Linked DNA regions of Arabidopsis thaliana. The protein of the gene in region 1 interacts with the protein of each later gene in a pairwise test. Each region holds a gene or a part of one and is shown in the gene's direction. Other genes may lie near its edges.

The links. Proteins that work in one complex are often made in the same cells at the same time.
Region 2: the proteins of AT5G17560 (region 1) and AT2G20270 interact in a two-hybrid assay, tested with the Arabidopsis thaliana proteins (one study listed by BioGRID).

The regions. Positions count from the first base shown.
Region 1 is NC_003076.8:5,786,506-5,790,518, forward strand, and holds AT5G17560 (BolA-like family protein), read left to right. Parts: upstream 1-1,852; 5' UTR 1,853-1,968; coding exon 1,969-2,292; intron 2,293-2,627; coding exon 2,628-2,695; coding exon of another isoform or gene 2,696-2,699; exon of another isoform or gene 2,700-2,870; coding exon of another isoform or gene 2,871-2,889; exon of another isoform or gene 2,890-3,024; coding exon 3,025-3,166; 3' UTR 3,167-3,459; downstream 3,460-4,013. Other genes in the region: PEX19-2 (peroxin 19-2), read right to left, coding at 238-283, 366-682, 991-1,279, 1,449-1,488, 1,616-1,661.
Region 2 is NC_003071.7:8,737,243-8,741,646, reverse strand, and holds AT2G20270 (Thioredoxin superfamily protein), read left to right. Parts: upstream 1-1,986; 5' UTR 1,987-2,029; coding exon 2,030-2,316; intron 2,317-2,426; coding exon 2,427-2,500; intron 2,501-3,063; coding exon 3,064-3,219; intron 3,220-3,378; coding exon 3,379-3,405; intron 3,406-3,569; coding exon 3,570-3,646; 3' UTR 3,647-3,861; downstream 3,862-4,404. Other genes in the region: AT2G20280 (Zinc finger C-x8-C-x5-C-x3-H type family protein), read left to right, coding at 31-122, 670-861, 950-1,080, 1,177-1,279, 1,393-1,593; PSAE-2 (photosystem I subunit E-2), read right to left, coding at 4,003-4,107, 4,185-4,250. UniProt on the Arabidopsis thaliana protein: May only reduce GSH-thiol disulfides, but not protein disulfides.

The DNA.
Region 1 (4,013 bases):
CACGTTTATGTTTCAGTGAATTTATGAATTTGTGTGTAGAGATTCAAAATTATTCCAAAACAGAACTAACCAAAAGGAACAAGAACCGAAACCCAATAACTTTGGTATTCAGGTAAGAAAAAAAAAAGAACTTAAACAAGCTTTGCATTGTACAATGCACAAGAGAAACAAAAACATGTTCTCCATTCTTCAATGGCTGGACAAGGCCAAACAGTTTTCTAAAACCTGTTTCTTCCCTCACATTACACAACAATTTGGTGAAGACTCGAGCATGTCCGGAGACCTGTGAACATATATATATACAAAACTTAGTCACCTTGGGGTCTTTAAAGATCACAGAGATTCCAATAAGGAAGAAGACTTACATTTGGCCCAGACTAGCGAAATCAAAGCCAGGATCCATCTCTTGCACTATATCACTCGGTGGTTGTCCACACTCTTGCATCTTCTGCATTATCTCCATTATCTTGGTCGAATTGTTTGGTTCGTTCTCGTACACCAAGTTGAGTTCTTTGATAAGTTCATACTGGCGTGAATAACGATCGAATTCTTCCTTGTTTAGACTGGATTCATGCTCTTCTAGCCATTTTGGGTATCTTGCACCAATCTCTTTCATTGGTTCGTGAAGAATATCCTTCGATAACAGCTGTTGCATCATCGTGTCCACTATCGACTCCAAGTCCTAAACAAAAACATGGAAATTATGAAATGAGAAATCATAAAAACAAAACTTCTAGTGATCAAGACTACTTTCAAATGGTTCTGCAAACTAATTCTCATCTTCAATTGTGGTTTTTTCGATATTAGTATCAGTATCACTACTATTAACACAGCCTTCAAAACTACTTTGCAACATGTGTTACTACTCTGCAACAACCTTAACTAGATGAAACTTTAGTAATCTAATCTAATCAGAGAACTTGAAGATAAAGAGAACATTAAACTAGATAAGTATAGCAAGAAGTAACAACTCAGTTTGTGTATACTTACGTTAGACCCAGTAAGATTCTCGAATTGCTTGATCCAATCTTCAACCATAGCATCATCAGAACCTGTAGGTTGCTGCTTCGATGACAAGGACTCAAGTCCCTTCACAGTTTCTCTAGTTTGTTCCCTGAGTTTATCAAGTGCCTCAGTAACATGGTCCTCTTTAGCAATCTTTTTCTTTCCTTTCTTCTTACTCCTCATATCTGGTAACCCCATTCCAAGACCTTGAACCCCACTTGGCAATGACTCTGTCTCTTTTTTATCACCCTCTTCTTTCTTAACCCCTCCATTTCTACATAAATCCAAAGCTAATCAACACCACAATTCCCACCAAAAACATAACAGAACCTCTAATTTAGTATTGATGTAACCACAATCTCAAAACTCTAGAGCTAAGTAATCTAACCACGTGGCATAGATACAATTAGAGAGAGACAGAGATTATGAGAAAAAGGAGTAACCTTTGAGTAAGATTAAGATCCTTGAAATCATCCAAGGCACCTGAGAAAGACCCAGAATTCTAAATTATAGAAAACGAACCCACAAGAACAAAAACGTTTTTCACCAATCACCTAGAATTGGTGAACATGTTATCAAATCAAATTAAAATTCGTTAGGAAATTATTACTATCGAGAAGCTCGTCTAAGTCATCGGTGTGAGTATCGTTGGCCATATTCTCGAGTCTCTCTTCCTCAACTCTCGAAGAAACTCACAAAATTCGAAGAGGAAGAGAGAATTATCGCATTGAAGAGAGAAACAAATTTCCAAAGGCGGTGTTGTTCAATTGATCAAGTTCAGGATTCGATCCAACGGCTGACATTATTTCCATTAAAGAATTATATTATTAAAATCTTAAAATGACTTGAAACCACGAAAGCCCATTAAGTTTAACTGTGTTGTGTCGTAAGCCCATTTTTTCAAGAACCAACGACATTGCCACAGAACATTTTTTTTTTTTTTACTCGCAAGTCTCTCAAGCAATGGCGCAGACATTAATGGCGACAACTCGTCCGTACGTTCTTCTCTCTTCCACAAGAGCGAGTCTTTATCGCCTTTTTCAATCTTCAAAGAGACCCTTCGCTTCATTCTCAGCTCCTCTCGTGAGATTCACTAACTCGAGATGTGTAAGCGCCGTTTTGTCTCGTAAAGAGACTGCGCCGTCGTCGATTTACGGCAATAGAGTTTCTAGGGTTTCTGGGTTTGGTGCTTTGGACATTCGCAGCCTTAATTTCAGTACTAAATCCTCTCAAATCAATGATGCTGGTTCTATTGATCAAACCCTTATGCAATCCATGGAGCTAAAGGTTGGATTTTTATACCTCATTAACTAATTTCAGTGAAATTGATTCATTGTGTATGTTTCAGTGTCAATTCAATTTATAGGTTATAGTATTATTAGTGAATTTTTGAAGGAATTGATTGGATACTTGGTATTGGCAACATGTGTCATATTTAGTTGATGGAAACTTGGTATTGGCAACACGATTGCTCTCAGTAGCTCCAAAATGATCAAGATCACTAAGCTAAGATAATTAATGAGGAATCATGTCTCTTACTTATATGATTGAAGCAAACGATTCTTTTTTTCGATTTATCAACACATGTCTCTCTACTTATGAGGTTTTGGCTTCATTTGCAGATCAAAGAACAATTGAATGCAGAGTCGGTTACTGTAACGGATATGTCTGGAGATGGACGTCATGTCTGGTAAGTACTCTGATTTAACTCATTTTTGTCTTCCAATGATGATTCTTTATTACACTTGAGTGAAGTTGCAGATGTGTGTTATCACTGTTATGGATAGTGTTTAGTGAAGTTTGTTAGATATATAGATAAATTCATATTTTGAGATTCCTTTTCTTTCATTTTAATCACAAAAAAGTTTCAGGTTCAACAAGTAGTAGAATCATCAAAGTTGGGATATAAGTTAGTACTTATTCTTCTGCTCTTGATGGAATCCAGTCATAGATTCTTACTTTAACTTGTCATATTAGATGGTTCTGTTACTTAATACCAGTTTTGCTTAATATTTGTAGCATCAATGTGGTATCATCGGCTTTTGAGGGACAATCTGCAGTGAACAGACAAAGGATGGTCTACAAAGCCATTTGGGAAGAGCTTCAGAACGTTGTTCATGCCGTTGATCAAATGACAACAAAGACTCCTTCTGAAGTTTGAAGCGTTAAATTTTCCGAACTCTAAAAGGCTTCAATATCTTATATTATTTGATTAGCTGACAATGCTGTTTGTTTTATCAAAAAGAAAAAAGCAAAAGGAACTGATATACAGCTTTTGGTTATTTTTTAAGTACTTTGATTGGTTCTCTTGCAACCCGCCAACACATGTTAAGTGTTGGAGCGTTTGCGGTTTGCGGTTACACGTGTTTGGCGTTTTCAATCGCTCTAAATGAATAAGAACAAAATTAGCGTTTGTGGTGGCGGATTATCTTCAAAATAAACTTTATTCTCTACTAGCTAATGTTATCATTTCAAAAAAAAAAATTTAGTCGATAAATAGATTAAAATATATTTGTGGTCATAAAAATTATATGTATGCATGGAAACGTATCAATTCAAAACTGAAAAGTTTTTTGCAATGAAAATTGTAAGATTTATAATAATATGATTGTTGCTTTTATATACATGTTACATGCATGAATAGTGAATAACTGAATATTGAACTACTATGGTTGATTTGGGAACCGTATTAGCCATCAACTAGACAAAAATCGTTTATATCAGTAGTAGCAACACTTAATAATGGTTACAACTAGTCCATCTGCTCAAATTCCCATATCTTTACTTTAGCTACATGGATTAACAGTTTTTTTTTTTTTGTTATCGGTTATTATACCATCATTAGAAACATAATGTTGTTTTGTAAAAAAAGAAAACACTCATATTGTTACAACTTGGAAACATAAGTTCATTTAACTCCAATTATTACAAGTAGACAAACATAGGTTTTATAGATACTATACTACCACAACCCATCACATGTTTTTTTTCACATTATGATTGGTATT
Region 2 (4,404 bases), on another chromosome or scaffold:
CATATTTTTGCCTTTTTTATATGGCTTTAGATGGAGATATGGATGAGTGGGATCAAGAGACCCTTGAAAAGGTTGTTGAATCAAAGAAAAATGAATATAATCAGAATAAGCCAACAGATATCGTAAGTTGTTTCTCTTATCTTGTGTTTCTCGGACTTTTTATTATATGCTTGTCGGGACATGCTTATCAGTTATTAGTAGCTTTTCTCTTGTTAATGCACTGTGAAAATGTCTGAACTGGTTTGTGTTCAAATATACAGCCTTTTAACGTGTATTATGTGAAGTGATGCATTAGTTTTGGTTGCACTTGCTGTGATTAACCTTTAGCTGATGTGCATTCGCCTTACGATGCGCTTCCTTTAGCTAATAGCACGGTTCATATTAAGAGCCATTAGGGTCTTAGATGTTATTATGCCTCCCGTTGTTCCCTTGTGTTTTTCTGCGCACTTGGTTCATGCCTGACAAGAACTCATGCTTTTGGTGATGTTAGTGCTAATCATAATTTTGAAATAAATGTTTCTTAACTATATACGTCTATGCTAAAAGAAATAATATCTCTGCGTCTCATCTCAATAATCATCTCATAAACTTATCCTAAACACATGAGTTATTTGTCTCGCTGAGTTTTATTGACTTGTAATTGTTTTTGTGTTTACTGAAAAATAATAGGTTTGCAAGTATTTTCTGGATGCTGTGGAAAAGAAACAGTATGGGTGGTTCTGGTCATGCCCCAATGGTGGCAAAGAGTGTCATTACAGACACGCGCTTCCTCCTGGATATGTCCTTAAATCTCAAATGAAAGCCCTCTTGGAAGAGGAGTCATCGAAGAAGCTGGCAGTTGAGGACGAAATCGAAAACGAGGTTTAAAATACTCCTCAAGTTTCCCTCATAGCTGCTAGGACCCGGTACTTGATTTGTGAGACCCATGTTTTCTTGTTCTATGTTTCAGCGTGCAAAACTGCAAACCGCAACACAAATGACTCCTGCACTATTTATGGAATGGAAGAGGAAGAAAATTGCTGAGAGAGATGCCGGTTTGGCTGCTTCTCAAGCGGAGAGAGCTAAGAACGACCGTATGAGGTAATCCCCATTCATCATTCTGTTACATATCCATCTCCAGTGTGACTCTATTTTTGTCCTTGGAAGCTGATTCATTGTGTGGATTTGTAACCTCAGTGGTCGGGAGCTGTTTCTGTCCAATGCAAGCTTGTTTGTGGATGATGCTGAGGCTTGTGAAGAATACGAGAGGGAAAGAGAGCAGGAAGAGACTGAACAAAAGGTGAGCTCTCTCTCTCTCTCTCTCTCTCTCTCTCTCTCTCTCTCTCTCTCACTCACTCATCATTTAAAACAACCAAGTCATGTTAATGGAATCTTGAGTTTTTTGCTTTTCAGGCAAAGAACAAAGAAGCAGAGGCAGGGACAAGCAAGAGTAGTGGTGATGCTGAACAGAGTTCGAAAGAAGTCAATGAAGAAGAAGAAGATGACGATGATGATGATGATGACCTAGACATGGATGAGCTGGATGAATTGGAAGCAAGCTTGTCGAAAACATCGATCCAGATTCGTGAGCCAAACGACGAAGGGTCATCTTGAAATGAAAAATGGTCTAAGAGGAAGAGGTGGAGGAGAGAAAGCACATGTTTTGTTTTTGTGTACTTTCAATAGATTGGATTTTGCAGACACAAACCCCATTTTGGGGTGTTGAATAATTTCTGTTACTGTTTTACAGTCTTAAATGGCCTCATCAAAGAACTAGTAGTATCTTTTTTGTCCAATCATTTTCATCTTTCTTTGTTGTTGTTAATTTTATCATGATGTGTAAATAAAAGGTCGTAAACTTACTAGAGAAAATAAAAACTACAGAAATGTATTAAAAACAAAGAATTTTAATCAATTCTTATGAATATTTAGTTGTTTTATTGATATTTATAAATAAAGAACAAAAAATATCGGCGATATAAAAAGAGGTAAATTAATCTGAGGGCAAAAATAAGAAAAGCATCCAATTTCGTCGGAAGAAGAAATCGCCATGGTAGCCGCAACAGTAAACCTCGCGAACATGACATGGACGTCGTTAAATTCAAATCCAGCAATCTCTTTCTCCATGTTAAGCGGAATCAGAAACTTGGGCATGTTACCTTTCAGGAGATGTCTAAAGCCGACAGTTATCGGAATCGCGTCGTGGCCACCACTCCGTTGTTCTTCTGTTAAGGCTATGTCTTCATCATCGTCTTCGTCTGGATCGACATTGGAGGAGACTGTTAAAACGACTGTGGCAGAGAACCCTGTCGTTGTTTACTCCAAAACCTGGTGCTCGTAGGTTCACTATACTTTTTGGTTCAATTAGAGGAATGGGTTTTGTTAATTTATGATCTAGTTTGTCAATATTGATACTTTTACTGGGTTTGTTCTTTTTGGTGGTGAAGATACTCGTCTCAAGTGAAGTCCTTGTTCAAGAGTCTTCAAGTTGAGCCACTGGTTGTTGAATTGGATCAACTTGGTATGCTCAATTCTTTACTTTGGTTTGCTATATGGGTCTGAGTAGTTTGCTATATTGGTTTTGATAATGTGTGTGATATTGTTTATATCGATCAAGGAAGAGCTGGTTACAAGTGCCCTAATGTTTCAGCATTTTGACTGGATGAAATTAATACTTGTTTCCAACTTCTTCTTGTTTATCTTCTGGTTCATTTGGCTGCTTGCTTGAATTGGTTTGTATGTTTTTTGATTAGATTTTGATGGAGGATTGATGATGGTTAGGGGGGTTTCTAATGGCCTAAGATAGCTTTACATTTCAGAGATTCTGTGTCTTGTTTATGTGAAAAATTTACTTCCACTGTAGTTTTCCTTGGACCAATGACTTGTTGATGAAGAATCAACGGGTAGGCTAGTACTTCTAATGGCTTAAATTTTTCAAATTGAAGATTCTTTCCTGCCTTTGAATCTTAGACAGTATGCTTCTATTTGTTAGAAACTATTATGTTGCTATCTTCTTAGTTATCTTTTCTCGTGTCAAGATTTGGTGACTTTCCAAAACCATTTGTTCTTTCTTGTCTTGTTTAGTTTCTTTGGGTAAAACATCTCTGCCTCATGATATTGGTCTGAAACATTTACAAAAGTTTTGGTGGTTTTTGGCGTTTCCAGGTTCAGAAGGGTCGCAGCTGCAGAATGTGTTGGAGAAAATTACTGGACAATACACTGTTCCCAATGTTTTCATCGGTTAGTTGTTTCATCATTTAAGCCAGTTACTAACTATACTCTGATCATTTTTCTTGATTATTTTGCCTGAAAACAAAACTATCGATAAAATCTTAGCCACTACATTTGCTATGACCATCACTTATCTAATTTTGATATCATGTTTTTGTTCATGACCAGGAGGCAAGCACATTGGTGGCTGCTCAGGTACAATCTCTCTTCCTTTCTTACCTCAACACCGAGATTTTTCTAATATGTAATTGAGATCGTCTTTGTGTATTTTGGCACCAAGATAGATAGTACTCAAGATCTTGCTCAATGTCTTGTGATTTTTCTGGTAACTTGACCTGCATATCATTATTGTTGAACAGATACATTGCAGCTGCACAATAAAGGAGAGCTGGAAGCAATTTTAGCTGAAGCCAATGGAAAAAACGGTCAGACCTAGAGATTTCTAGAGATGAAACTGGTTGGTGATTCTTCATGTTTCCTTATTGAAGTCGAGATGATTTGCTGTTTGAATTTACTGTCTATATAGAGATTTTCAATAAGAATCTTGTGTTTCTTTCTACGTACAAAAAACAGTCAATGAGTCATGCTGGGTTCTGTTACTAAACCGGAGTTGCTGAGTTTGATCCACACTACTTGGAATTTGCAATCATTTTTGGGTGGCTAAATGCATATTTGGAAATCGATCTTGAGATTGTAAAAGATAAAAGATGAATTGTTGGTTAACTTTTTGGTACATACGGTTTTGTTTAAGATTACAAACAGACGAACCGGTTTAGAGATAAACCATGTCTCTCATTTTACTTCTTCCACCTCGTCCAATGCGTAGTTGTTGGTCGATATATTCGCGTAATTCACCTTGGCGAACCGGACCACAACCGGATATCGGGTCTTCGGGTCCTGACAATTTAGACCGGAATATAAGATGAAACGATATCTAACCGTTAGATCGTTAACTTCAAAAGTAAATGCATTACCTGATCAACGGCCACAACTGATCCAACGTTCTTGTACCAGTATGATTCTTTCCTTAGAATCTTGACCTGTAAGTCCTCAAAATTGTTTATAAATTTCACAGTAGCCCTATAACTCTTAATATGTATACTAAATAGACCCAGAACTTATTGATGATACCCAGTTTAGCTCAAATATTAGTCCAATCTTCTCTACTAGCATCTAATTAAGCTTGAATTTTCT